4 linked regions of the Stegostoma tigrinum genome follow. The main gene of each other region encodes a partner of the protein of the gene in region 2 in a complex. Links are inferred from orthologs where the notes say so. Each region holds a gene or a part of one and is shown on either strand. Other genes may lie near its edges.

Region 1 (7,514 bases), on a different chromosome or scaffold from region 2:
AGGATTTACACCAGCAACATTAATTGTATGTTCTCTCCACATACACCACTTGCCCAGGTGTGTTTCCAGCATATTCTGCTTTTTGCTAGAAAGGCAGATGGAACTTTTTTTCAAATATTTTGCCTTAGGGGTTTAGCTCTGGATATCTGATCAGTACTTTATTCATTTCAGCAGACAGATTAAACTGTTAACAGGTTAACAAAACAGTGGAATGAGCTATTTCCTATATCTGTTTTAAAGTGATACAAGACTCACTCATGGCATAGCTTTTGCTTTTCCGTTTTAAACAACCAATTAATTATCTCTAAGGCTCAGAGACAAATGTCAAGCCATTGAGTATCTCACCTGAAAGCCCGAGGAGATCCCACGTGGGACCTTTTGGGAAAAGCTTTTTCATGTTTATGGCCCATTGATAGTCTGTCCATCGCTCCTTCCAGGCCTGAAGAATGGCCTGCCTCAGGTTCACCACCTTCATCTGTCACTGCCAGGATAGGCAAAAGAACGGCAAAAATAATCAAATTCACCATGCCCGCCCTGCTAATATCATTAGGCATTACGGCAATGCCGTCAGGACAATCAAGGTGTCACAGACCCACAAAAATTTGTCAAGGCACTAAGCAATACCATGGCTTTGTGTAAATACAGCTACACAATGATTTGATCAGAATAAAAAACAATTCTGACTGCTAAAACTTTAGCAATGCAGATGTCAAATTCAGTAAAACTCATTTGTGGATGGCTAAAATGTTCATTTCAAATGAATGTGGAATAACACCAAGCAGTATTTAGAAATGCTTTGCTTCCAAATTTTGGTCTACCCCACAGAATTCCTTGAGGTGCGAAATATGCACAGTACTACTAACTGCAGAAACAAACTGAATCTATAACAATTTACAACAAAAAAGATTCCATTTGGCGCATTGCTCACTTCAGCAGTCAGTATTATGCTCAATGATCTATTCCTTCCTTTTGGTCCAGATCATCCTCCATTTAAAATTGTCAGTGATTCCGCTCTTTAAAAATGCAACTCCACTGCATTTATAGTAAAACACTTCTTGCTCCAGCTATTTTCCTTGAAGCCCACCTCTTTGGCCACGCCATTCTTCGCTCCTTTGTTCTCTCCTTCTGTGGCTCATCATCTATTTTCCCCATTAAGTTTCTGAAAGAAGCCTCGGGACTTTCTTCAGGTTCAAGGTGGTATCTACAGGCAACTTATTGGTACAGTTAACTAATGGAAAATTTGGTGTGAAAATGTACATGCCGACCCTGTAAATAACTGCTGCAAAACTGCTGCATGTATTGCAAAATTATCATTAGATTGCTGTGATAGTTTATGATTAGGTCTAGCATATGTGCCATTTGTGAGTAAATGGCAAGCTGTGAATTGAGTGCCAGATCCCTTAAGTGATAATAGGTTTGAGATGAAAGGTTCTTCCCAGTTAGATTTGATAAAAAGATGTCTGCATCTAAACTGGTGATCAATAATTAATCATGCACAAGTTAGAGTTCTTGCTTGATCTGGTGTCTATATACACTTAGATCATTTCATACAGGGTACCAGTTTATGGTGAGTTTGAACGGAGGTTACAGTCAATCGTGAGTTGACGTTTGATCTGAATATCAGTCGACATTGACTTCATGTTTGATCTGAATAGCAATCTATAGAGAGTTTATATTTGATCCGGTGGTAACAGTCTATAGTGGACTCACGTTTGATCTAGGGAGTCAGTCTATAGTGACTTCATGTTTGATCTGAATATCAGTCTATAGTGAGTTCACGTTTGATCTGAATATCAATCTATAGTGAATTCAAGATACCAAAGTGTAGAGCTGGACGAACACAGCAGGCCAAGCAGCATCTTAGAAGCACAACATTTGATTTGAATAACAGTCTATAGTGAGTTTATGTTTGATCTGGGCAATCAGCCTATAGTGAGTTCACGTTTGATCCGAATATCAGTCAAGAGTGAATTTATGTTTGATCGGAGGAGTCAAACTATTCTGATTTCATGTTTGATCTGGGGTGTCAGTCTATACTGAGTTCATGGTTGATCCTGAAGAAAGGTAATACTCAAAATGTTGACTGCTCCTTTCCTCCAGATGGTGCCTGGCTTGCTGAGTTCTTCCAGCCTCCTGTTTGTCTACCTTGGATTTCAGCATCTGCAGTTTTTGCGTCTCTATATTGAGTTCGTGCTGATCTGGGGAGTCACTCTATAGTCAGTTCGTGTTCGATCTAGGGAGTCAGTCTATAGTCAGTTCATATTTGATCTAAATATTAATCGAGGATGAGTTCACATTTGATCTAGGTTAACATTCTATATTGAGTTCATGTTTGATCTGGGGATTTGGTCAATAGTGAGTTGATTGGGACTCACTTGGGAGTTTACGTTTGATTGGGGGAGTCAATCTATTCTGAATTCTGAATTCATGTTTGATCTGGGGAGTCAGTCTATATTGAGTCCATGTTTGATCGTGAAGAAGGATAATACTCAAAACGTTCATTGTCATTATCACAGAATCCCTACAGTGTGGGAACAGGCTCTTCGCCCCAACAAGTCATCACTGGCCCTCAGAGCCTTCCCCTAACCTACACATACCTGAACACTACAGGGCAATCCAGCAAGCCTACACATCTGCTCTTTTCCTCTAGATGCTACCTGGCTTGCTGCGTTCTTCCAGCCTCCTGTTTGTCTACCTTGGATTTCAATATCTGCAGGTTTTTTTTCTCTATACTGAGTTCATTTTTGATCTTGGGAGTTAGTCTATAGTGAGTTCATTTTTGATATGGGGTCCTCCATTAACTACACAGTGTATTGCTAGTTTATGATTAACTAGAGGAGGAGCCAAGCTGCAAGATTGAGCCTCGATCCAAAAAGAAAGCAACTAGAATCAAACAATAAATGAAAGGTGTTTTACCTGAAATATTTCTGACTAAATCCCAAACTCAGCGCCGCTCGAAACGACTAACCCCTCAAGCAAAACACTCCGCCATGTTGCCCACTAACACCTACCCACCAACAATGCCGGCGGCAATTGGCAGAACTTGATTCCGGCCGAGCCAATGGAGTCAATGAGGTGGTGTCGGGCGTCGTACCTCCTGGGAGTTGTAGTTCAGAACCACCGAGGAGCTGCGGGAGAAGGGAGGGGCGAAAACTACAACTTCCAGAGTGCCCCGCGAGCAGCGCCCTGTCACCTGCTTTGGAAGCGCAGAGATGGTAAGTCAGGCTGTTTCTGCTGCTGAAAATCCATAAGATTTAGATTTAAGATAATATACGAACATTTATCTGTATATTTGAGTGTGTACACATATGAATGTGAATGGTATAAGTTTACCCATGAAATGCCGCTGTCTTGAAATTATATGATTTGTTTGGCAACCTATTAATGCTGGTTGGAATCCAAAGGTTATGCCTCATTCCTCCTTGAGCACTTGCATCTCTCCTGGGGCTGCTGTGTCTTTCTGACTCATTGGATTATAGTTTTTATACAGTTGCAGCATTGCAATCCTAATGCAGATTGTCCTGCCGCCTCCTCCCTAGGCTGCGGGTTGGCTGCGGTGACAGATGTTCTATCGATTCGGTCGAGCGGTACGTTTCCCGTAAAATGGGGTCAGCTTACTTTTTGGGATGGGAGCGTATATAATATTTCATTTAAACCCAATGAGTCGCGATTGCTCCCCCATCCCTGTCCCAGAAAGGTGATTACTCCCTTTATATGTGATAAATTTCGTTTACGAGAGAAATTTACAAGAGAGTTTTTAATACCATGAATTAAAGCCATGATTTATTCCTTCTCCATTCGACATTCAGAACTATTTATATGAACTCAATAACATGGGCTTCTTGCACGATATGTTGATTTATTTTCTTCCTAGCAACAGTAAAATGTATTTTTTTAACATTATTTTTTAAAAATCGAGTTAGTTATTTCCTATTTGTTTTTCAGTTTTCTGCCTTTTTCCCCCCCTCTTCTCAACCTCAATTTTTTAAAGTACAGCTTTCCACTTCCTCTTAAGATAGCAATATTTCACTAGGGACAGATTTTTGCCAGCCAATTCAGTTCTCACTTCAGCCTGTGCATTCTTCAAGAGTCGAGGGAAAGAAGCTCCCAGCCTTGTAACACTGAAGTTAATTGTCAGTGCAATTACCTATAGCCATGTATTTTTAAAACAATCTTCATTCATTGGATGTGGACATCATTGGCAAGGCTTGCATTCATTTTCCATCTGTAAATGCCATTGAATTGCATGGCTTGCTAGGGATATTTTATGACCTTGTTGAGACGGTCTTTTAATTCCAGATTTTTAAAATAAATTTGAATTTAACGTCCACCTGCTGCTATAGTGGGATTTCAGCCTTGATCCCCGAAGACTGAGTTCAGTCTCTGCATTACTAGCCCTGTGGCATTACCACTAAACCACTGCCTCTCCTGCACGAGTAGGTGTTTTTATCCAGGTTCCGGCATCAGGCAAGGCAGAAGTTTCTGCCAAGGTGATGCCAATTCCTACTTTTGTGTAATGATTTGCATTGTCTTTTGCAATGCCTTTTGGTTGAGATGTTAATTTGAGGCTGCCTCAAATGGTAATAAACTATTTGTCTGTGGTCAAGATAACAAAAGAAAGCAGATGATCAGGGTATGAACATGTCATTTCTTTAAATTTATTTTTATGGGATGTAGGCATCGCAGGCCAGGTCAGCATTTAGTGCCTATCCCTAGTTACCCTTGAGTAGGTCGTGGTGAGCTGCCTTTTTGAACTGCTGCAGATCATCTGCTGTAGGTTGACCCACAATACTGTTAGGGAGGGAATTCCAAGATTTAAGCCAGCATCAGTGAAGGAACAACGATATATTTCCATGTCTGGATGGTGAGTGGCTTGGAGCGGAAACTGCAGGTGGCGGTTTTCCCATGTATCTGCTGCCCTTGTCCTTCTAGATGGAAGTGACCATGGGTTAGGAAGGTGCTGTCTGAATTTCTGCAGTGCATCTTGTAGATAGCACACACTACTGCTACTGAGGATGAAGGGAGTGGATATTTGTGGATGTGGTGTCAATCAAGTGGGCTACATTGTCTTGGAGAGTTTGAAGTTTCTTGAATGTTGTTGGAGCTGCACACATCAAGGCATGTTGGGAGTAGTCAATCACTCCTGAAGTGTGCCTTGTAGATGGTGGACAGGCTTTGGGGAGTCAAAAGACGAGTTACTTGTCTCAGTACCCCTAACACCTGATCTACTTTTGTAGCCGCTGTGTTTATGTGGAAAGTCCAGTTACGTTTCTGGTCAATGTTAACACCCAGTTCTTGTGGAATCTTGCTGTGCAAATATTGCCTGTCAGATTTCCTACTTTGTAACAGATGCTGCATTTCAAAAGTAATCCATTGACTCTTCTTAATGCCAGTATTTATTTTCTGCCCTTGTTTTCAAAATAGTCTGTCATAGCACCAATTATGAAATAGTCACTACCGTTTCTAAGGTGGGTTGGGAGGGTGGAGGCAAACGCAATAGCTTGAAACCAGAAAAGTTACAGCAAACAGCCATGCAGACTGTCAGGAATAATGTGAGTAAGCAAGAGAAAATGAAAATGCAAGAATTAGACAGCAGGACATTCAGTATCTGGAAAGGAGGTTATGATATTGGGTGTGAGCTTTCACCACAGTAAGTACTAGGCGAATTCAGTTGGGTTATTTTCAACACATCTTATTGGAATGAGCTTACAGTAAAACACAACTGTTTGAATTTGCCACAAAATTAGTAATCACCTGAATTGTTGATTTGGTAATAGAATTTGAAGTAGCACACTGGCACAAAGGAGATTTGATCAAGATGTTCAGTGTCATGAGAGATCTAGGCAGAGAAGATGAGGAGAAACTCTTCCACTTAAGAAATTGAGAACAAGCGGGAACTGATTTTAAAGTATTGATTAAAAGAAGCAACAACATGAGAAATTTCATTTTACAAGGAGCACATGGCCTGGTCTGCAGTCTCAAACTGAAACTGGTGGAGGCAAGGCTCACTTTAAAGCATTCAAAAGGAACTTAGACTGCTTCCAGAAAAGAAAGAAAGGGAGAAGTCAGGAGTACAATGATCTGCTCATTCGGAGGTGCAAACATGAAAGGCTGATTGGTCTCCCTCTGTGTTGTAACAGTTCTGTCGTTTTGCTGTAGTTTCTGCTGGAACATGAGGCTGTACCTGACCTGGAAGCACTTGGCAATGATACACCAGGATGGAAAAGTTTTCCCGTTTCTCCGCATTTAAATCCCTTACCTGATCAGCCCTAAATAACCTCCAGATATGATCAAAAAACTTTCACTTTTATAGTGTCTTTAACATAATGAAATGTCCCAAGAAGCTTCATGGGAACATCACAATGCAAAGTATGTCACCAAGCCACATAAGGCGATGTTAGATCTGAATGGTAGGTTTTAAGAAGCGCCTTGAAGGAGGAGAATGAGAGGTGTAGTAGGAAAGCTATTCAGAGCATGGAGCTTTGGTGTTTGAACATATGCCACTAATTGTGATTAACATCATGAGATTTTCCCAGAACTGGGGAAAGTGCAGGTATTTTAGAGAGTTATGGGAATATTGTGCATATTGAATCCCTCAAGATCCATTGCAAAATCTAAACCTTCCAGAGTGGTGTGTTTCTTAGTGATTGTGCATTGCAAAAATTGCACTGGAGTGTGTAAAACCCATATGCTCTTTGAGAAGCCAGCTCCCTATCCTGTCCTGCAACATGTAATTGTCAAAGTATTCCGAGTCTGCCTTCAATTGTTCCCAAGCAATCCTCAATATTCTGAGTTACAAGAAGTGCTCACATGGGAGTCACCCCCAAATCTTCACTTTCCATCCTTCTTTAGAATTAGAATGGCCTTTATTGTCATGTGCAGTGAAAAGTTTGTAATATTGCCTCTGGTGCCACCTTAGGTACAAGGTTCCTTGGAACAGATACTTTAAGTATTGTCACAGAATTGAAATAGTAAAAAAAAGACTAGCATGGGAATACAACGTTTAAAAGTCCAGAATGACAATAAGAAGTTTATTTAAAGTACTCGAGTTATAGTCTTTTTCCACTGAGTCTGTGCCTGCCGGGCTTCAGAACATGGGGCCAGGCTACCTCCCCGCACCGGCCTCTGTCCAGGTCTTCCCTCCAGGACTCGTCCCCGTGGCCGGCTCTCACTCACTTTGCTCCCACTGCAGCCTCTGGCTGCACCTCCTCTCCCGTGTCTCAGACTTGCCTCCTTTTTTCAGGTAGTTTAAGCAGTTGAAAGTTGGGGGAAGGGGAAGTAAAATAAAAAAAGAGAAAGAAAAAGAAACTGGTGAGCAGAGGAGCTCACTTGGAGCATCTTACATGGCCAGTCTCTATCTTGCTCCAAATAAAAGCTTGATTTGGCTGCTGCAGCTTTAATTGTAGTTGAGTGCAGTTGGGGAAAATGAACTTGCTGCATGTATTGGTGAGGACTGGTTGGAGGTTTCCAGAATTTGAATTGTAATGAAACATTAATATCCCCCAGCTATACCA
Region 2 (7,033 bases):
GTGAAGATGCGGCAGGGCTCAGTGTGGCTGTCTTCTCTGGGGTTGCTGGCTGTGGAGGTTGTGGGCGGAGCGATGAAGTCGTCGGCTGTGGGCGGGGTTCCGTCGGCCGTGGGCGGGGTTCCGTCGGCGTCGGCTGTGGGCGGGGTTTCGCCGGCGTCGGCCGTGGGCGGGGTTCCGTCGGCGGTTGGAGGATCGGGGTGGGTGGCAGCAGCTGCGGTGAGGGTGGTGTGTGGCGTGTTGTACCTGGACGTGGAGGTGGTGACTGCAGCAGCGGTTCCGGAAGTTCTGTGGCCGGCGGAGGCGGATGTGACGTCATCGGTGGGGTCTCCGGCCGTGTCCTCATGGTCAATGGCGGCGGGTGCATGGTGGGGGAGGGGCAGGGACAGAGTCGGGATTTGGGAGGCGCAGGAATCCTCTTGTGGGTGGCAGGGGCCAGTGAGTTGGTTGTACTTACGATTTTTGGTGTCCAGTAAAGCTGAGTGGAACTGGGTGTTCAGTCTGTGGATCTTGCGGAGGATAAAAAACAGCAGGGGTCCTTTGCAGGTCTGGGAGAGGGAGGCGCTGAGCTGGGGCAGGCTGGATTGCAGTGTGTGGAGGTGCCGGCGCATGGCTGCAAGTGTCTGTTTCAGGACTCGCAGGGAGAACCGCTTCTGAAGGGTCTGAATATTCTGGGTGTAGAGGTGGTCATGGTTGGGGCCAAATTGGGAAGGCTGAAATGTGGACTGTAGTCCCTTGGGGATGATCTGGTTCCGTAGGCAGGTGCTGAGGAAGGTGATGTGGCTGTGGTACCTGGTTTGCTTCAGGACATGGTCGAGCAGTTTCAAGGCCGAAGAGATTACAAGAGAGTTGCAATGGGAGAGAGATTCTCTGAGGTTGGTCCGGAGGGAGGAGGGTAACTTCTTCAGGTTAGGCATCCCTGGAAGAGGCTTCGCAGTGAGGTTAAAATAGTATCAGAGATAATGGGAACTGCAGATGCTGGAGAATTCCAAGATAATAAAATGTGAGGCTGGATGAACACAGCAGGCCAAGCAGCATCTCAGGAGCACAAAAGCTGACGTTTCGGGCCTAGACCCTTCATCAGAGAGGGGGATGGGGAGAGGGAACTGGAATAAATAGGGAGAGAGGGGGAGGCGGACCGAAGATGGAGAGTAAAGAAGATAGGTGGAGAGAGTGTAGGTGGGGAGGTAGGGGGGGGATAGGTCAGTCCAGGGAAGACGGACAGGTCAAGGAGGTGGGATGAGGTTAGTAGGTAGCTGAGGGTGCGGCTTGGGGTGGGAGGAAGGGATGGGTGAGAGGAAGAACCGGTTAGGGAGGCAGAGACAGGTTGGACTGGTTTTGGGATGCAGTGGGTGGGGGGGAAGAGCTGGGCTGGTTGTGTGGTGCAGTGGGGGGAGGGGACGAACTGGGCTGGTTTAGGGATGCAGTAGGGGAAGGGGAGATTTTGAAACTGGTGAAGTCCACATTGATACCATATGGCTGCAGGGTTCCCAGGCGGAATATGAGTTGCTGTTCCTGCAACCTTCGGGTGGCATCATTGTGGCAGTGCAGGAGGCCCATGATGGACATGTCATCTGGAGAATGGGAGGGGAAGTGGAAATGGTTTGCGACTGGGAGGTGCAGTTGTTTGTTGCGAACTGAGCGGAGGTGTTCTGCAAAGCGGTCCCCCAGCCTCCGCTTGGTTTCCCCAATGTAGAGGAAGCCGCACCGGGTACAGTGGATGCAGTATACCACATTGGCAGATGTGCAGGTGAACCTCTGCTTAATGTGGAATGTCATCTTGGGGCCTGGGATGGGGGTGAGGGAGGAGGTGTGGGGACAAGTGTAGCATTTCCTGCGGTTGCAAGGGAAGGTGCCGGGTGTGGTGGGGTTGGAGGGCAGTGTGGAGCAAACAAGGGAGTCACGGAGAGAGTGGTCTCTCCGGAAAGCAGACAGGGGAGGGGATGGAAAAATGTCTTGGGTGGTGGGGTCGGATTGTAAATGGCGGAAGTGTCGGAGGATAATGCGTTGTATCCAGAGGTTGGTGGGGTGGTGTGTGAGAACGAGGGGGATCCTCTTGGGGCGGTTGTGGCGGGGGCAGGGTGTGAGGGATGTGTTGTGGGAAATACGGGAGACGCGGTCAAGGGCGTTCTCGATCACTGTGGGGGGAAAGTTGCAGTCCTTAAAGAACTTGGACATCTGGGATGTGCGGGAGTGGAATGTCTTATCGTGGGAGCAGATGCGGCGGAGGCGGAGGAATTGGGAATAGGGGATGGAATTTTTGCAGGAGGGTGGGTGGGAGGAGGTGTATTCTAGGTAGCTGTGGGAGTCGGTGGGCTTGAAATGGACATCAGTTACAAGCTGGTTGCCTGAGATGGAGACTGAGAGGTCCAGGAAGGTGAGGGATGTGCTGGAGATGGCCCAGGTGAACTGAAGGTTGGGGTGGAAGGTGTTGGTGAAGTGGATGAACTGTTCGAGCTCCTCTGGGGAGCAAGAGGCGGCGCCGATACAGTCATCAATGTACCGGAGGAAGAGGTGGGGTTTGGGGCCTGTGTAGGTGCGGAAGAGGGACTGTTCCACATAACCTACAAAGAGGCAGGCATAGCTGGGGCCCATGCGGGTGCCCATGGCCACCCCCTTAGTCTGGAGTCAGTCTGATTTTATTTCTAAAAGTAGGAATTTATTAAAAGCCACATTGACAGACTGTCTATAAATTGTGTGCTTTTTGAACAAAATAGAATGTATATGCAAATGCAAATTCACCTCACAAATTTATATGTGAGTGTGTATGTGTATATGTATATGTTTGTGTTGGTGAGGGAGAGAGAGAGAGAGAAAGTGTGTGTGCGTGTGTGCGTGTGTGTGTGTGTGTCCAAAAGCACACAATTTATAGACAGTCAGTCAATGTGTCATTTTATAAATTCTTATGTTAGAAATAAAACCAGTCTGACTTCGAACCAAAACATGAACAAATTCTAAACACCTAACATGTATTGTCTGACCTAAAATGTCACCTCTTCTTTACACCGATAATATCTTTAGTTCTCGCAGGGAAGTGACTCGAAAGAAGTTTGGAGATTCACACATACATATTAATAAATTAAAACCTTCTAACTGATTAAAGATTTAACAGCATCTTATTGAATTGAATTGAAATGTTAAATAAAAACCGAAAGAACTGTGGATGTTATAAATCAGGAACAAAAACAAGGTTGCCTGAAAAGCTCAGCAAATCTGGCAGCATCTGTGATGTCAAAAACAGAGTTAATGTTTCGGGTCCAGTGATCCTTCCTCAGAACCTCAGAAGAGTCACCGGACCCAAAACGTTAACTCTGTTTTTTCCTTCACAGATGCTACCAGACCTTCTGAGCTTTATCAGCAACTTTGAATTGAAACATTTATTGTCACGTGTATTCAATGTAAAAATACACTGAAAAGTGTGTACCTTGGCCATACATACATGGCGCCATTCACATTAATTTTTGAATAAGAAAAAAAAAATAATTTGAGAGGCTTAACTTTCCTTGCAGGTTTAATACATCCTGATCAGTTGTGTGACTTTTTGATCTTTTATTTATAAATTCTGTGTGTGCGCGTGCGTGCGTGTACTTCTTTCTCACTTCGCCTGATGAAGGGGCCTGTGTCCCCAAAGCTTAGGTTTTCAAATAAACTTGTTGGACTATAACCTTGTGGCGCATGATTTCTGACTTTGTCTACCCCAGTCCAACACCAGCACCTCCACATCATAGTTTATTTCAGCCATTAGAAAAATAGTTATCTGGAATGTTGCCCCTGGTTATAGTAGGGAATTTATGTGGTCCAGGCCAAAATACTACATTTATCATCATTTGTCCTTTTAACCAAAATGCCTCTTCGGCTACGACAATCTCCACTAGCGCTTGGAGTCGGTAAATTCCGGTAGCGCCCGGAGTCGACAATGTTCGTCAGCACTCGGAATCGACAAATTCCGGTAGCGCCCGGAATCGGCAATGTTCGTCAGCACTCGGAATCGACAAATTCCGGTAGCGCTCGGAGCCACTCGTTGGGGCAAGCCGGCTTTCCCAAAGATGGCGGCGTTCGGAATATTGAGTTATGAGCACAGGCCGTTGAAAAGGCCTCGGCTCGGGCCGCCAGACGTTTATCCGCAGGACCCCAAGCAGAAAGAGGTAGGAAAAATCGTCGAGAATCCAGGGGAGGACGGCCAGTCACTCAGTAAGGCAGCCGGGCCGGCGGGGTGAGTAAGCCGGCGCGGGGAGCCGGGCCTAGAGCAGCGTCCATGTAAACAATAAACAGTCCGTATGTATGGGTGGACTTGGGCCTAGAGTAGCCTTGCAGACAGCAGCAATAAGCTGCTCTTGTACTGTCGGTCCCTAACCGTGGGTTGGTCACCCTGTCTCTGTGAGATAGAGTTTGGGCTGGAGCACAGCTCAGCCATTTTAACAGTTAACTACTGGACCGACCTATCAATAACACCTGGTTAATATGGAAATTCGTCATAGATGGTACAAATCTTCACTGTCTCTATCTGGGAGAAACCCAGAAGCAATCAACTTCCACAGTGTTTGCGATTGATCTTGAAGCTGATATATTTTTACTCTTAAAATAATCGGGAAATTTTGAGGATCTGTTGTGCTTCCACACTCAAATTACGCCACACTATATCATCAAGTACTTTTTCTTTTCAGTTAATGTACTAGACCTCAAACCTCAAAATGAGAAGCTATTTAAGATCACTGAACCACATTTTCAGCTGCACAACATACACCGTTACTGTCATTTAGATTCTTTTTGGCTGCCCGCTGAACTCCATGTCCTCCTTAATTAATTTTGAGACCCGTCCTTTCAAGTAACTCTTGGGCCTTGCCTGATTAAAGCTTTGCAATATTTTTTGGCCAAAAAGTCCCATTTAGAATTAATAATAATAATTTCTGGTAGTACTTATAAAGTTGGGCAGAGTTAATTTTTCAGAGTGAGATGACTTGTCCTGAAACATCAGTTCAGTTTCTCTCTCTAGATACTACCTGATCACAGTATTTCCAACACTTTTGTTTTCATTTTTGATTTCCATCATTCAATATTTTGCTTTTTTCTTCCCCTCATGTACGACTTTGATTTCCTTGAATCTGTTAGAATCTTGAGAATTTTTTGGAACTGTTTTTAAGAAAGGATGGTGGAAATAAAGTGCTTGAATATTTTTAAGACTGAGGTGGATAGAACCTTATTAAGCAAGGGTTGAAAGATTGCCTGGCGGGAATGCGGATTTGAGGTTGCAATCCGATCAGCCATGGTCTTATTGAATGCTGAAGTAGACATGAGGGGCTGAATGGCCTGCTCTTGCACATTGTGGTGTGGGAATAAAAGGGCAATTATCATCATGTTTCTTACCCTCTTCATTGTGGATTCTTTCTGGGTACTGATCTTTTAAAAACAAAAGACGTGGTACAATTTCATTGGTACCTGTGATCCTCTAGTACTTTGCCCAAGTGTCTGTTGTTCATGTAAGCTTAGTGTCTACTGACAGGTTCGTTAACGAGCAAGATTGTGCTTGCGGGAGGTGAGGGGGGATGGGGAGTTCTAGGCTTTGGGACAGGGGTTGGGGAGTGTGGGTGCTCTGCTAGTGAGGAAAGATATTGGCTCAAAACTGAGGTGATACTGCTTTCAATCATGCTGTTGTAACCTCCAGCTGTTATTTGTCCAACATTGTCTTTATCAGTTCTTTGATCTTCACCAGATAAAACTCTGACTTACTTGAAACTTCAGTGTTTGCAAGCTATTTCAGATTAAGTCGACTCACCAACTACTTATGTTTCTATCAACCTTTGTTGGTTTCTTGTTCACCAATACACTGATTTCATTATCTATTCTATGATTACAAATACTACCACTGATTCATACCGGCCTAGCTCTAGTCTTACATTCATTATGATCTTCTATGTTTGCAGTTCTGTTTTGCTGTGCATCTCCACCCCACCATTCGTACTGAACATTTGAGCTGGCATTTATTAATGTTTAGGAGGAAGGATGTGAACGAACTGCTGCCAAGTTTGTAGACTACACAAGAATAGGTGGAAATGCAGGTTGTGAGAGGGATGCAAACAGTTTATAAAGAGATATTGATAGGTTAAGTAAGTGGGTGAAGTTGGCACATGGAGTATCATGTGGGAAAATGTGAAGTTGTTCATTTTGGAAGGGAGAACAAAAGAACAGAATAATTTAAAGGAGAAAAATTGCTGAAAGCTGCAAGGCAAAGGGATTTGGGGTACTTCTACATGAAACTAACATGCAGGTGCAGCAGGTAATTAGGAAGGTCAATAGAATATTAGCCCTTAATGTAGAGGGGTTGAAGTACAAGGGTAGGGAATTCTAACTGCAGCTGAATGAAGGCTGAATGGTTGGGACTCTACTCACCAGAGTTCAGAAAAATGAGTGGTGATCTCATTGAAACATAAAGGGATTGACAGTATAAATGCTGAGAAGATGTTTCTCATCATGGGAGAGTCTGAGATCAGAGGGCATAGCCCAGAATAAAAAGATGCCAGTTTGAGATGAGGAGGAATTTCTTTTCTCAAAGGGCTTAGTGTCTTTGGAACTCCTTGACCCAGAGAGCTGTGGAGAAAGTGTCCCTTGTGTATAGTTAAGGCTGAGATAGATAGATAGGTTGATGGGGAAATCAAGGGCTACGGGAAAAATGCAGGAAAGTGGACATGAGGAATGTCAGAGATAATGAAATGTGAGGCTGGATGAACACAGCAGGCCCAGCAGCATCTCAGGAGCACAAAAGCTGACGTTTCGGGCCTAGACCCTTCATCAGAGAGGGGGATGGGGTGAGGGTTCTGGAATAAATAGGGAGAGAGGGGGAGGCAGACTGAAGATGGAGAGAAAAGAAGATAGGTGGAGAGGAGAGTATAGGTGGGGAGGTAGGGAGGGGATAGGTCAGTCCAGGGAAGACAGATAAGTCAATGAGGTGGGATGAGGTTAGTAGGTAGGAGAAGGAGGTGCGGAGTCCATTGGGGATGATCCGGTTCCATAGGCAGGTGCTGAGGAAGGTGATGTGGCT
Region 3 (6,887 bases), on a different chromosome or scaffold from region 2:
AGTGTTTTCAGGTTGCTAAATTCACTATGCAAAAAATTTCCACAAAGCAGACCATATTCATATTTTACTTGATACCTATTTGTTTAAATATGCAAATCAGCATTCACTCTTTCACAGAAATTAAGCAAAGCATCAGCTATTTCTGGCTTGCAAAACAGCACAAAATAATTTCCTGTAGTAATAGCAAATTATGTATGTGAAACAAGTAAACTGTAGTATTTCAAAACATAAAGGAGAATGTGAACTAACAGTTAAGAATCCTAAGAATTTTCTTGTGAATAGTATACAGCTATCCTGCTGACAGAGTCAAATTACCATGCAGTTGGCCCCTCTGGATCTTTCCAGAGACCAAAAGCTGTAAACGACCAATCACTGCCACTGCTAAATCAATGCATCATTACCTGAACTGCAGGTATCCAAAATATTCCAAACACTGGAGATCAACACAAATTTACACGAGCAAGTACTCAATATTTCTACTTTTTTTTTACAAATAACACAAAATATTTTCATTATACACAGGCACACTACAATACACACACCCTTACACAAGATGTCAAAACCACAAACAATGTAAATTTTGATTTCATAGTTACTAGGGAAGGTATGTCATTCAAAGTCCCTAACAGTTTGATGAATTATGGTGAAAATCCCAGGAGGAACTTGTAATTTAACATTACTGTAAAACATTTTATATTTGCAAAGGAGCCTATCTGAAATTAACAGTCATAAAAAAGCATTTTTAAAGACAGCCTGGAAATAATCAACTAAGCAATTGAGATGGCTTTGCAAGGGAATAAAGTCCACTTAAAGATTTGATCTATTACACATCCTTCTTTAATTTTTTAGCCTATGCATCCCAAAGCAACAGTAATCAATCTTGGAAATTCCAAAAGTATAGCCATTTTATATGATAAAGATGGAACTCACCTCGTAATTCATGATGAATTATATCAACTAAATTCGGCTCCTCTCCCCACCAGTAAATCCACAACTCCTTGGCTTCAGGCCTCACATCTCGTCTCCATACACATAGTAGATTGGCCTGTAGGCATCGAATAAATGTCTGCAGAATAGGATCATCCTGAGCTGGAGCTGAGATGATGGGACCACAGCCCTCTAGCCCTTGGAAACTGTACCTACGCCATTTGATGCCAGTTAGTTCAGCCTGTTGGTTGAGAAACATATCAAAAACAATTCGATAGAAAAAAAATTAAGAAGGACCAATTAAACCTAAATCTATTGGATATGGTGAGGATGATATTTTGAACTTAGACAGACATACTTAAATTGTTACACTGATTGCAAAACAAAATATGGACAAAAACAGAAGTTGCTGGAAAAATCTCAGCACGTTTGGCAGCATCTGTCAACAGAAAGCAGAGTTAACATTTCAGGACCCAAACTTTAACTCTGCTTTTTCTCCAAAATGTTACCAGACATGAGTTTTTCTTGCAACTGCTGTTTTGTTTTGCAGTATCCGAAGTTTTTTTTTGGAAAACAATAACATACAAATGAGGAAATTGATTCATTAACTCTTGATTGATCAAAACGTACCTCAATAGTATAGCAGAACTTCCACTGGAAAGATGTGAAATACATTATTTTCATAATGTGAAAGTAAGTGTTTCTACGAGTACTTGTATATGAATGAAGCACTCAACAATCTTATACTATTTTTAAAGATGCGTAATTTCACAAAATATAAACACACGAGAGCAGAACGCCTTTCCGCAAAATTTATATTTCCTTACTGTAGGTTATGTCCAAGCGTCAACTGAAATGCACCATGAACGTTTAAAATATTTTGAATATTATGAAGACAAGATTAAAATAAACTGTGGATTGAACGATGCAGTCAAAGAAGATTCACGGAGAGAAAAATTTCAACTACATTGCCAATGCAGAAAGAGTACATAACATTAAAACTTCAGACAAGAGACATGATTTATTACTGCACACGGGAGCATTAAAAAAACGGGCACCGGAAAATCCGAGGACAGCGGTGGTAATAAGACAAATTGCCAAATAAATGACATGTAAACGGCAAACAGTATCAGATGCCATGTAGCGATTACGTTCAACTCCACCTCTTCACCCCCCATCCCCAATAAAAAAAGACATGCTTTAATTCGGCTTGAAATATGCAGACATTTTTCCAGTTCAAGATGGTGGATTAAAAGCTTCCAGCTCCGTTGAGAGACAACAATAATATGCAATACGTAGTATAGGCTTTTGGGAGGGGTGGGGGGGGGAGAAGAGGTGGGACATATTCAAAAATAAGTTGGGGGGGGCGTTAGGGAATAAACTCCAGACAGGAAAATAAGGCCATGTAAACGGTTATGCTAAACCATTAGCAGAAAATGGCTGCTCCCACACAGCCTAAGGCCCCTCTCTCTTTCTCTCCAGTCTCTCTCACACTCACCAGAGAGAATAAATTCGAATGGCAGTCCTCCAAGCTAGCACCGTTGGCCACCCAGTTTGCTGCAGTCATGCTCCGTGCATGACTTTCTCTCCGGAGGTCGAATTAAAGATTCCGTCTTGCTTTCCCCTTGCAAAGAAAAATAATATCTCGATAGAACCGGGAGGGATGAAACAATCACCTCCCCTCACCAGAAAAAAACCTCCTCCGCCCAGAGGAGGGGGTGGGAAAAATAACGAATAAATATGTTTTAAAAACGATAACTAAAAATCTCTCCAGAGCGATGGAAGGAGTGACGTCCGCCGCTTTAATTCAGGAGGCTCCCCCAAGCTTTGATGATGATATAGAGATAGATAATTTCGGTGTGTGTTGTCCTTTCACGTCGTCGTCCGCCTCCCAAGTTAGAAGGGGGGAAATCACTCGCTGCTACTGCTGTTGCCGCCGCCAGTGATCCACTGAAGGCTGCTTGCTGCTCTTCTCGCTCTCTCTTTCTGGCTCCCCTCCCTCCTCCCTCTCTCCCACTCACTCACTCACACTCACACACACATACATACATACATACATACATAACACACACACACGGAGAGAGACAGAGATAGGCAATCAGCGTAATGGCGACAGCGCTGAGGCGGGCGTCTTTCCCCCGCCAAGGATTGGCTGCGCCCGCGTCACATGGACGACGCGCGCCCTCCCCCTCCCCGCGCAGCACACTCAAGCCTAGGCTCCTCGCACTCCGCTCGCTCCTCCCCATCCCACCGTCGAATGGCGGAGCTGGGGCAGGGAGGAGGGGGCGTGGCCTCGACGGGCACGAGCTGCCGGACCGAAGTGTCATTTCCCCGCCCCCACCGGCTCTTCTCTCTCTCTGTCTCTCACATGCACAAAAACACCCCGGCTCGCTTTCCGCGCCTGCGCAAGGGGTGTGAGTGTGGCGGGGTGTGGGGAGACCTGGGGGTGTTGAGGTGAGACAGTGCGCGGGTTGGGAAGGTGGTATGGGAGGGAAACGGGGGACGAGGTTGTTGCTGTAGTGTTGCCCACCCACTGGTGGCGCTCGTGAGCGCCTTCGCCGGCAGGAGAGTTGACCAGGCCTGTGTGGCCGGTGGAAACTGTGCACTGGCTCTAACTTTGTCAGCAGGTGAACACCTAACCCCAATTCCTTAAATCCTTAGTTTAATGAAATTGCATCAATGCATTGCATAATCAGATTTTTTTTTAAATGATGCCTTCACAATTTCATCAAAGCCCAAAATAGTGTTTCAGCGTGTTGTTACTTTGTTTATACTGTTGCAGTTCTCATGAATTGATTGGAAGTCTCCCATTGAAGTCGGTCCTTCCCCTTTTAACCCAATACATGTTCTCTTTTTATTTATTCATTGAGTGAGGGCGTCTGTTTCACAGTTAAACAATTCCAGAAGATTGCTGAGGTATTCTGGAACTTTCAGAATTTCACATCTACTTTATAACATTAAATCCATTGTATAAAGTACTTAATAAATTTGTATCCCAATTTGTGGAAATGGAATGTCAGTAATAATATCCAGGATCGCAGATATTACTTTGGAAAATAACAGAATGAGGAGACTGGAATACAGCCAAATATGTCAGTAGAAGTCAATTTTGACAGTGAAATGGGATGGAGGGGTTATCTTCAGAATTCGATGTATTAATTGACGACACTCCCTGATATTTGACTGTGGGAAAGAACTGTCGAAGTACCGTCCTTTGCGTTTATTCCAATCAATGTAATCCCAATAACACAATTGAAATGGCTTATAGTAATAATCTTTTATTTAGATAACAGCTGTCTTGAATATTTTATTTCAAACAATGCTCTTTCCAAATATTTGATTCCTAAAGTGAGTCAATAACAATTCAGGTAATGTTTCATGCAATAATGGTTTATATTGGACGCAAGATAGTTATGCTTTAAAATTGGAACTTTTAAAATGTAAATATTTATTTCAATTTTTAAACCAGGAGAACCTCTGCATTTTCCCTTCTAAATGTATTTCCTGTATGGCAAGTGCAAAATCTCCGCTGTGCCGTAAGTGAATAGAAAACACAAGATAGACAGTTTCCCTCAAAGAGGAAAGCAACATCAAAGGGCGAATCAGTCCAAGCTACTTTTTTACACCTTTGAGCAGGCAGTTATGCAGCGACGTTGGCAGATGCCTGGTAGAAGACAGACTGACCGATTTTTCGGCAGGGAATGATGCAATGCATGGGGAGAGGGATAAAAATGAGCTTAAAAATGAATAGAAAATGAGGAATTCATAATTACAAAAGGTAAAGAATTGCCCACAATTTATGATAATATTCAGGTTTCACAGTGTAGCTCAATGTCAAAAGTGTAGTTTGTTGCTGACCTATATATTTTACATTTAGGTTGCTGTCAGTCATTGAACCAACATAGATGATAACATTATAGAAATACGTACATACTTATATTCTTCCGAAAGTGATTTTGCAATGAGCAGTGAAGACGATGTGATTGTTGCAACTGTATTCTTGGAAAGAATTAAGTATATGGTACAAGAAAGCTTTCAACTTTGTATGTCTTTAGTGATGCGTCTAGATTTAATATTGGAACAAATTCCACAAATAAGGAATAGTTAGAAAAACAACCCAATGGTTATGACTAACCACATATCAGTGACCTGTAGTGCACATTGTTCTTATTTTCTCATGGTACTTTTTCTGCATTCATTAAATTTGATATCTTTGAAATTTTGTAGCTTGTAAATATTACATCACTCAGCGACTTGTCTGTTTCTATTGAGTGCATTTAATTGGATATGTCAATGAATTGAGATATCTTCACACCCTGTAAAAAAACATATCAACCATATTTCACACAAGAATAGTTGTAGGCTGAACACCTCAGTGATCATATATATGAACTGTACAGAGGTTATTATTTAAAATACTTAGCCATACATGCTGTATGATGATATTTCAGTTTGAAGCAGCCTCTTGATGGAAAATTAACTATCTATTTCTACATTGAGGCCATCACATACCTACAGGCATATTAATATCAGAGTTGGGAATATTTTCACCACTCAATCATATTTCACTACATTAAAAATCCTAAACCATATCTTATAAAAACTAGCTACTATTATTATTCACAGCTAAAATGAATATGAAAGAGCATGATTTTATACTTAGAACTCCACTGGATCTTAGTATCATATTTTGTTATGGGATGAAAAGAATCAACAATGCATTGAAATATATTTATGTAAAATGTTATTTCAATTTTTAGATTGTGTATTTTCCTTCAGGTTCTATTTTAAACAGAAGCATGATGGCGTACTGATGTTTTCTAAAGTGACACATATTGATAAGACTAAGTAAAAACATCTGTAACAACATACTCTAGTTCTTTCAAAATGGATTTGTGATCATTCATCCAGAAATATTTTCAACTACAGCTATAATAAAACAAGTAATCAGTCATGGCATAATGCTTCAATTGTTACTGATGCTGTTGCTATTTGATGATTAATCTAGAAGATGGGCCACCTGACAATAAATGCACAATATTAAAACTATATTTTTTTGCCTATTCTTTTAGTGTGGTAATACATCATAAATGTTTTAAGATCAAATTTTAAATGAAATGTGGTGTCTTTACTTAAAGTTTTCATTCAGTTGGATTCAAATTATGTTCTTCATTAGAGCTTTTGGTGATTTTTGCTCCGCACAATGAAAATTTTTATTTCAGCTATGAAACCCCTGGGGTTAATTATCCAGCATGCAGTGATAGTAATTGCTGTTGATTAATTTCAATCAATAAAATATAAGCATAAGCAAATAGATGATCTGTAAAGTACAAAACTGTATTTGTATAACGTCTACCTAACCTCAGGGTAAAAGAAACCTATTTTTTAAATTACTTTAAAAATTACCTTCTTTAGGTACATGGTTTGCAGTATACTTAAAACTGCTTTATTAGTATTTCTGTTTTACATTCCGACTGATGCCCTTGTCCAAAAAAATGCTTTAATTTTGAAAATGCTGGTTTTATTAATGTCCAGCACTTTATCAGTGTCATTGGATGAAAATAGTGCTAGTTTAATAATTTGAGAAGTTCATTACATTTTCAGGATGATAAAAAATATTGAGTTTTTTAAAACATATTCCATTCAATCAGGAAAGAATTTATATGATCCACTATATACAGTACTATTATAATATCTAGGATACAAAATTCAAACAAGTTTTCAATGCTATATTCTAGAAAACAAATGTTATGCATAATGAAAATTGAAAAAGACTATACTCAAAGGATTGTAACATTCAGTGATTGCTTTAAAATCATTGAACTGATAGCTGGATGCTTCGTTGAATGAATTCTTTGTTGTTAATTGTAAATATTTATTAGAAATAAAAATGTGCTGCTTTTCCAATGATATTTTAAGTTGTATTGTCATGGGGGTCCCCTGTTGCACTGTTCTTAAAA
Region 4 (7,159 bases), on a different chromosome or scaffold from region 2:
GCACTATAATGACTGGGTACAAAATTAAGACACTTTAACAATTTCTTTTTCCAAAAACAAGGGTTATGAAATTTTTAAATGGCCACTTAAGCAGGCATTTGAGTATCAGTTTAATTCACCATTTGAAATTGCATCTTGAATAACTCCCTCAATCATGCACTGAGAGACAGTCTAGATTGCATACCCAAGTTCTGGAATGGTGCTTGAACCCACAACTGTCTGATCACGTGAAATTGTTTCACCAGAAACAAACGGGCTTTAAAGCAACAGTATGTAAATCTGTAAACATCTCACATAACAAACAATATATTCTTAACCTTATGACCTTATCCACAAGCAAGGACAACTGCAGACTGTGAAACATTTGGCGTTGGCTTGAAGATTAGGAAAAATTAAATGAGCTGTCTTTTCATAAACTATAAAAGATCAAAATGCTGAAAACTGACATTGCAGGATGGCACGAAATTGTTTTCAAATGTTTAGGAGGGTTTAGCAAATAGGATCATAAAGAAATTAGACGGATATACCAGAATTATTTGTTACCCAGCTACCGTTTGCCAAGATTAAATTATTTTAGATTACAAACAATGCTCTAACTTCAAAATATAGGTGCACAATCTTAAAGACATTCATGGTGTAAGAGTTAAAGCAGATCTTGTTGAATGCATCTTATTTTTCTTTCATTGCAGCTTATAACAGCAAAAGATACAGATGGAATAGACTAGAGCTTACCCGGCTATTCACAGCTAACCTGGGGTTTCAACTCCATTTTCCTGCTGACTAACTCCTATATCCCTCATTTCTGAGGCATACAGTCTGTCCATCTCAGCCATAAAACATATTCAACCTTGCAGGTTGCACATTTTGAGTGGAAAATTTTAAGAGTCACAAGAAACTTCTTCTCACCTCAGTTCTTAACAACAAGAGCTTTGTACATTTCAAAGCGATCATCTTTCATTTGCCTCAACTCCAAAGTATGTAGGTCCAATTTACTCAGCCTCACATCATAGGACAATCTCTCATTGTAGAGACCAATCTAATGAACCCTTACAATTCTGCCTCCAACACAATACAGACATCAATTCACTATGTTCTAGGTGTGGTTTCACCAAAACCACATACAAGTGGAATAAGACTTCCTCATTTTTATTCTCAAACTCCTTGCCATAAAGAACAACATGCCATCTGCCTTCCTAAACGTTTGCTGTTCCTGCAAGCTAAAATTCTGTATTCTTTGTACGAGTATACCCAGTACCTCTGAACATGTACACTTGTATGTTTCATGCTTTTTTAAAAAATTTTGCTTTTCTATTCTAAAAATGAATAATCCACAATGTTGATTCCCACTTACATTAAAGCAATGAGGAAAGAAGATAACTTATCAATTTGACTGATTTCAATTTTGTCACAATAATAGCTGTAATTACAGAAAAAAGTAGGGTTATTCCAGGTACAGTGAGAATTTATTTTAAATGTTTAAAAAAGATTCTGAAGCTCCCTCACTACGATAAGTGCATCTGTGGTGTATTTCTCAACTGGGGAGGTGAGAAGGTCTCAGGTCAACCCTCATTCTATGTTGAATTTGCATATCTTTACTGTACTACGAGGTGCAACAGTATACCAATATCCCAAATAGAAAGGCTAAAATCAGCTGAGTTTTTCTTCCTTAATGGTATGATAATGACTCCAACTATAAATCTATGTGAATGTCCAAATCTTGCCTTATTCTTCTCCACAACTGTAAGACAGTCATAACAAACCAGGAGGGTGCAATCGTTAGTGCTGACAAAGAAAATCATCCACAGGAGGAATGAAAACTAAAAGCAGCTACTGACCCTAACTAGTGTTTGTCAAACACAGCAACATCACCCCAAAAAAATTACAAAAATAAAACTCACATTTTGTGTAAAGTCAAATTCTACAACATGAATTCTATTCCCACTCTTATAAACAACAGCTCGTTTTAAAAAAAAAACCTCCAACAGGTAAATGCCAAGGTCAGAATTAATTTCAGAGTTAGCATTTGAAACCAATCTAAATGCCACTGGAAATCCTGCTGGGGGGGGGGGGGGGGGGAAGGGAAAGAGTGTGGCATTTACATGCATTACTTAAGATTTGGAAGAGCTTTTTAAAGTACTCGTCATTACATATCATTTGAATATCAATAAACTTATGAAATATATCACCATGTGTAACTTTGCCACGAATGTATTTTAAAGGTCGCAAACAATTCAATGAAGATGTCAATCCAACAATAATCAAGAAAACAATTTAAAGTAGGTCCATTAATATTTCCAGCTCTATCCAGACTCATTAGTTTAAAAGTTAATTGAAATGAGAAATAGTAATTATGAAGGATGCATACAAGTTCAAAGGTTTCACGACCAAATGGTTTACTTGACACCATCCCTAACAAAGGCAATAATCAAATATTACTCTATAAAAATACAGTAAAGTTGGTTTCACTCAAGTGCTTTTGCACGTATTTAACCGCAAAGACTCGAAAAGCTGCACCAGACAAGCAACATACTTTACTTCAAAAACAGGTTGCGCACGACAAAGTTATTGGCAGAAAGAACTCAGCTTCGCTCCTTCGCCAATTAAAATCCAAGCAAGAACCTGCATCAAGAATGACCAGCGTGGCCTACATGCTCTTGAAACCTTTACCTACCCGTCTTTCCGTTTGGCTTTGTATACATGACCATAAGTGCCTCTTCCAACTTTACAGCCTTCATATTCAAACAGGTCCTCCACTCGTTCCCTCTCTGTCGTCAGCTTCATCTTGAAATCATAGTCCATTTTCGAAGCTTTCCAATCTATTTTGTTTTAATAGTTGTATTGTCTAACTGAAGCCGACCGCCTCTCTTGCGGGTTCACGATATCGCTGGGTGACACTCGGAGGCACCATATAAGCCGCTGGTTGGCCTGTTGACGTGGGATGGTTGCACGAGCCGTCGCTGCGATCACCCCCTCACCGCTCGCTACCTCTACACAACGCCGGTATCACACATCAATCCCACCTACGGCATTGCCGTAAATTGTCGTGAAGAAAATGCACGCCGCCACTCATTGTATGCCGTTGCCTAGCATATCTCGTGCATGGGTGCTCGCACGCGTGAAGTGTGATGCAAGGTCCTGTGTACGAGCATGTTCGGAATGGATTGTCTAGCGTCCCCGGGATGTTAGGAACATGATAATATGCCGAAGTAATTCCAATAGGCATTTGGTTACTTCAGATTTCATGGCACATAAATAAATGCTGAGCCACATTCGCGTCGAATGAAACCAAAAATATGCCCGTGGGATCCACGTGAATGTGACAAATTAGATCCAAAATGAATTGGATCCGTTATGAGGAAGGTCACCAGACCCGAAACGTTAACTCCGTTTTTTCCTTCACACATGCTGCCAGACCTGCTGAGCCTCTCCAGCAATTTTGTTTTTGTTTTAGATTCAAAACGAACTTCGTGGCCAGCAGCGCTGTGAGGGGCGAAGTCTTTTGACTGGAAGCATGTGTCCATTAGGTGCTGGGTTCCTTGGCGTTGGTTGTGCACCATAATGATCTAGCCTTGAATGTACAGTAGAAGGTAGAATCAGTAAGTTTGCAGATGACCTGAAAATTGGTGGTGAAAATACTTGGAAGGAAAACCTTAGACTACAGGATAATATGGTTGGGCTGGTCACATCAGCTGAACAGTGGCAAAGGAATTTAATCTTAAAGAGTATGAAGTGTTGCATTTTGGGAAGACTAACAAGAGAAGGGAATACATATTCAATGGTAGATCCTAGCAAGTAGACAACCAGGAACTTTGGTATGCTTGTCCATATACCCTTGAAAGCAGCAGGACAGGTAAATAAAGGTGGTTAAGAATGTGTGTAGGTTACGTACCTTCATTGGTCAGGGTGTTGAATACAAGAGGAAGGAGATTGTGATGGAGCTGTACATTATGTTAGTTAGGCCACAGCTGGAGTACTGTGTGGAGTTCTGGTTGCAACACCATAGGAAAAGTGTGATTATTAGAGAAGATGTAGAGTAGATTCATCAGGATGTTTCTTGGCTGGAGTGATTCAACTGTGAAGAAAAACTAGACAGTCTGGAGTTGTTTTCCTTGGAACAAGGAAGGCTGAGAGCAGATATGTTTAAGATATACAAGATTCCAAGGGCAGAGATAGAGTAGATAGGGAGAAATAGTTCCCCTTAGTAGATGTGACGATAACCAAAGGGCAGAGATTTAAAGTTTGGAGCAAGAGCTTTTTAGGAGATTTGAAGAAAGCTTTTGTTTCATCCGTAGAGTGATGGATATCTGGGACATCCTGCCTGAAAGTGTGGAAAAGGAAGGAATTATCAAGTATTAAAGAACTATTTTAATGAGCACTTGAAATGCCATAGTATATGACTGTGGGCCAAGTGCTGGAAAATGGAATTACGGTAGATGGATATTTGATGACCAGGTGGACATGATAGGTCAAAGGGTCTCTTTCCTTGCTGTTAATACTCTGACTTTATTTTTAAAAAGTCAAAGGAAATTTAACTTAAATGACAAGATTTTGAGCTGTATCGCTCCTGTGGACCTGCACCCCCTAGATGCCCACTGGTCACACAACAGCTTGACCGCATGAGCAAAAGTCTTTCCCCAAGATAATCCACATGTGGAGAAAGCCACAGAGAGAGAGGGAGGTAGTATCCATTTGTTATGAGGGAAAATGTAATATGTTATTTGAGAACTTGGAGTCTGAAGTGAGGGGAAATGAACATTAGATATTAAATGAAAATCTGACTTGTGCAGTTCAAAACATTATTTACAAAAAGGCCATGCGATTTCAGCTAAATGACCAGAATTCTACAAAGTTGTTTTGAGTTTTATGGCCAACCGAGAAAGGAGCCATAAGTGTTTTTGTACAGGAGGAAAAGGCCTGTAATAGCATTGATGCTGTTGTTTACAGTTTCCCAGCAGTTGGGGTTGGGGAGAAGTCCTGAGGTACTTAGCTCCAGAGCATAAAGCTATGGAAGTGTCAGAGAAGAAAACATCCTAAAAGCCTATTTCAACACATGAGTTTAATCAACCCATGTTAAGTAACCGTGTGCTGAATTAGCAGACTTTTTTAAGGATCTCAGAAAAAACATTAATAGGAAAAAAAGGTGGAAACTAACAGAAACTGAAAAATTTCATGAATGTGCAGAAATTTACCAAAAAAAACGATTAGAACTTATGCCAACTGAGCAAGAAGCTTTAATGTGGAGATTGGAGTGATTCTTCACTGAGATTTAAGTGCCTGTAAGAGTACTGGCAGGATAAAAAGGATGAATCTTTCTTTCTGATGTCTGTAATTACAACATTCTAATAGTTCCTATTTATTTTTATTCTGTGCAGTAAATGTTGTTTGAAGTCCATTGGGCGGACCCTCATAAATAAATTCATGTGACTGACCGCCATGTGAAACAAAAAGAAAATAGTAAATATAAGGTTTTTCAAGCCAGGCTTCACTCTGGGAACTGATTTCTCTAGCATTATTGTAAGCTGGAATCATAACACTGGATCATCGCATTGGCCACACACAGGAGCAGACTAGTTGTTGTATACACTCTTGTGAGTGAACATGAACAGGCTTTATTAAGTGTAACAATTTACAAGAATTGGGGCCATCTGGAATCCTATGGACCCAGGCTCCTGTTCCATGTGATCAGGCATCATTATGGTTTTGCGCTTTCAATTCTGCTAAGTAGCTATTCTTCAGCCAGTGTGTAATTAACTCTTTATTCCACATCCATGAGAAGGATCTCTGATTTGCCCATCTTCCACCCTAGCCAGACCAAAGGTGCTTAAGTTTTATTTTCATGACAGACAAGATGGCAGTTCTATAGAACAAGAAATTCAGTCTACCAAAATAATATACAAAGTGTGGATTCTTCTTTTTCATGGTGATGGGGAGAAGCAAATTTAAATAATCGCATTTTTGGGTTCCTATCAAACCTTCAACAATAGCAATTGACATAAAATTAAGCGATCAAAAGCAACTGATTGGCTAACAGACAGTCCCACCATCTCTATTATTCGTGAATCTGGAATTAAGAACTGAATGATGACCACGAATCCATTCTTGATTGTTGAAAAACCCATCTGGTTCACTCATGTCCTTTAGGGAAAGAAACTGCCATCCTCACCTGGTCTGGCCTACATGTGACTCCAGACCCACAGCAATGTGGTTGACTCGTAAATGCCTTCTGGGCAATTAGGGCTGGGTAATAAATGCTGCCTAGACAGCGATGCCCTCATCCCGTGAATGAATAAAGAAAATAGAATACTTTAGCCTGGCCACCAATATATGAGTATAATTTGATCAATGAACAATAGATGTCGCAGTATAATAGACTGTTCTGCTACATGTTTTGCAATATTTATTCTGAGACCTTGGCTAACATTAATATAGTGAAAGTATGCTCTGTTCTTGTCGTTCAGCCCTAAAAAGTCTCAAAAGCATCTGCTAACTTTATTGCTGCAATTTGATGCCCAAATTGAATAATATTTATTTTTATTCCTTCACTGGATCTACCCATCATTCACTTGGCCAGCATTTATTGTCCATTCCAAATTGCTCACTCTTAATTGACCAAGACTGCACAGAGACTAAATGTCTATATAAAAGAGAAATCATAACTAAGAGAAGTAAGGATACAAATCTATTTGACAATTAAATATATGACAAGAACGAGGAACCATGACATAAGAATGAACACCAGGAATACCTGGGAATGATCTACAGTGTTGAAATGTGATTTTCAAATGCCATTCTGCAATGAATTATCATAAATGGATTTTTTTTTAAACCACAGATAACACGAAACATTTGGAAGGAGAAGGTGGTAATGTTGACCAGGCAGAAGAAATTGTATGAGTCACAATGAACTTCAGCCCAGTAATGATTCTTTGTTCAAGAACTCATTAAACTGGACAGCTTTGGATGCTGGATGCTAGCCACAAGTAGAACGGTTAAAATGTTGCCTAATTATTTTAAATAATAAGGACTGTAATTTGAGGTTCCATGTTTGGGATGACAATGTTTTGAAGTCATTGAGTGATTCCTAGTAAAACAGCTGAGGTAAACCTCTTTATCAGCATGGTACAGTGTGAAGTGAAATAAGCGGCTTGGTCTACAGTAA

What was found.
Region 1: med12 (region 2) and med24 share a complex: the UniProt entries of both Homo sapiens proteins name them as parts of the mediator complex. The link is inferred for Stegostoma tigrinum from reciprocal best matches to the Homo sapiens genes MED12 and MED24.
Region 3: med12 (region 2) and mediator of RNA polymerase II transcription subunit 13-like share a complex: the UniProt entries of both Homo sapiens proteins name them as parts of the mediator complex. The link is inferred for Stegostoma tigrinum from reciprocal best matches to the Homo sapiens genes MED12 and MED13L.
Region 4: the proteins of med12 (region 2) and cdk8 are in contact, whole or in part, in a cryo-EM structure (PDB 8TQ2), measured with the Homo sapiens proteins. The link is inferred for Stegostoma tigrinum from reciprocal best matches to the Homo sapiens genes MED12 and CDK8. Residues at the interface, in NP_005111.2 of Homo sapiens: Pro26, Gln27, Gln31, Glu33, Asp34, Leu36, Asn40, Val41, Lys42, Gln43, Gly44, Phe45, Asn47; in NP_001251.1 of Homo sapiens: His143, Ala144, Trp146, Phe180, Asn181, Ser182, Pro183, Pro186, Ala208, Arg209, His210, Thr212, Lys213, Met273, Pro274, Pro320.

The regions. Positions count from the first base shown.
Region 1 is NC_081384.1:10,521,544-10,529,057, forward strand, and holds the start of med24 (mediator of RNA polymerase II transcription subunit 24), read right to left. Parts: upstream 3,012-7,514; 5' UTR 2,917-3,011; intron 482-2,916; 5' UTR 476-481; coding exon 346-475; intron 1-345. UniProt on the Homo sapiens protein: Component of the Mediator complex, a coactivator involved in the regulated transcription of nearly all RNA polymerase II-dependent genes.
Region 2 is NC_081368.1:38,216,655-38,223,687, reverse strand, and holds the start of med12 (mediator of RNA polymerase II transcription subunit 12), read left to right. Parts: upstream 1-4,020; 5' UTR 4,021-4,043; coding exon 4,044-4,142; intron 4,143-7,033. UniProt on the Homo sapiens protein: Component of the Mediator complex, a coactivator involved in the regulated transcription of nearly all RNA polymerase II-dependent genes.
Region 3 is NC_081379.1:33,662,093-33,668,979, forward strand, and holds the start of mediator of RNA polymerase II transcription subunit 13-like, read right to left. Parts: upstream 3,010-6,887; 5' UTR 2,495-3,009; coding exon 2,426-2,494; intron 1,169-2,425; coding exon 931-1,168; intron 1-930. UniProt on the Homo sapiens protein: Component of the Mediator complex, a coactivator involved in the regulated transcription of nearly all RNA polymerase II-dependent genes.
Region 4 is NC_081359.1:77,361,823-77,368,981, reverse strand, and holds the start of cdk8 (cyclin-dependent kinase 8), read right to left. Parts: upstream 3,020-7,159; 5' UTR 2,800-3,019; coding exon 2,672-2,799; intron 1-2,671.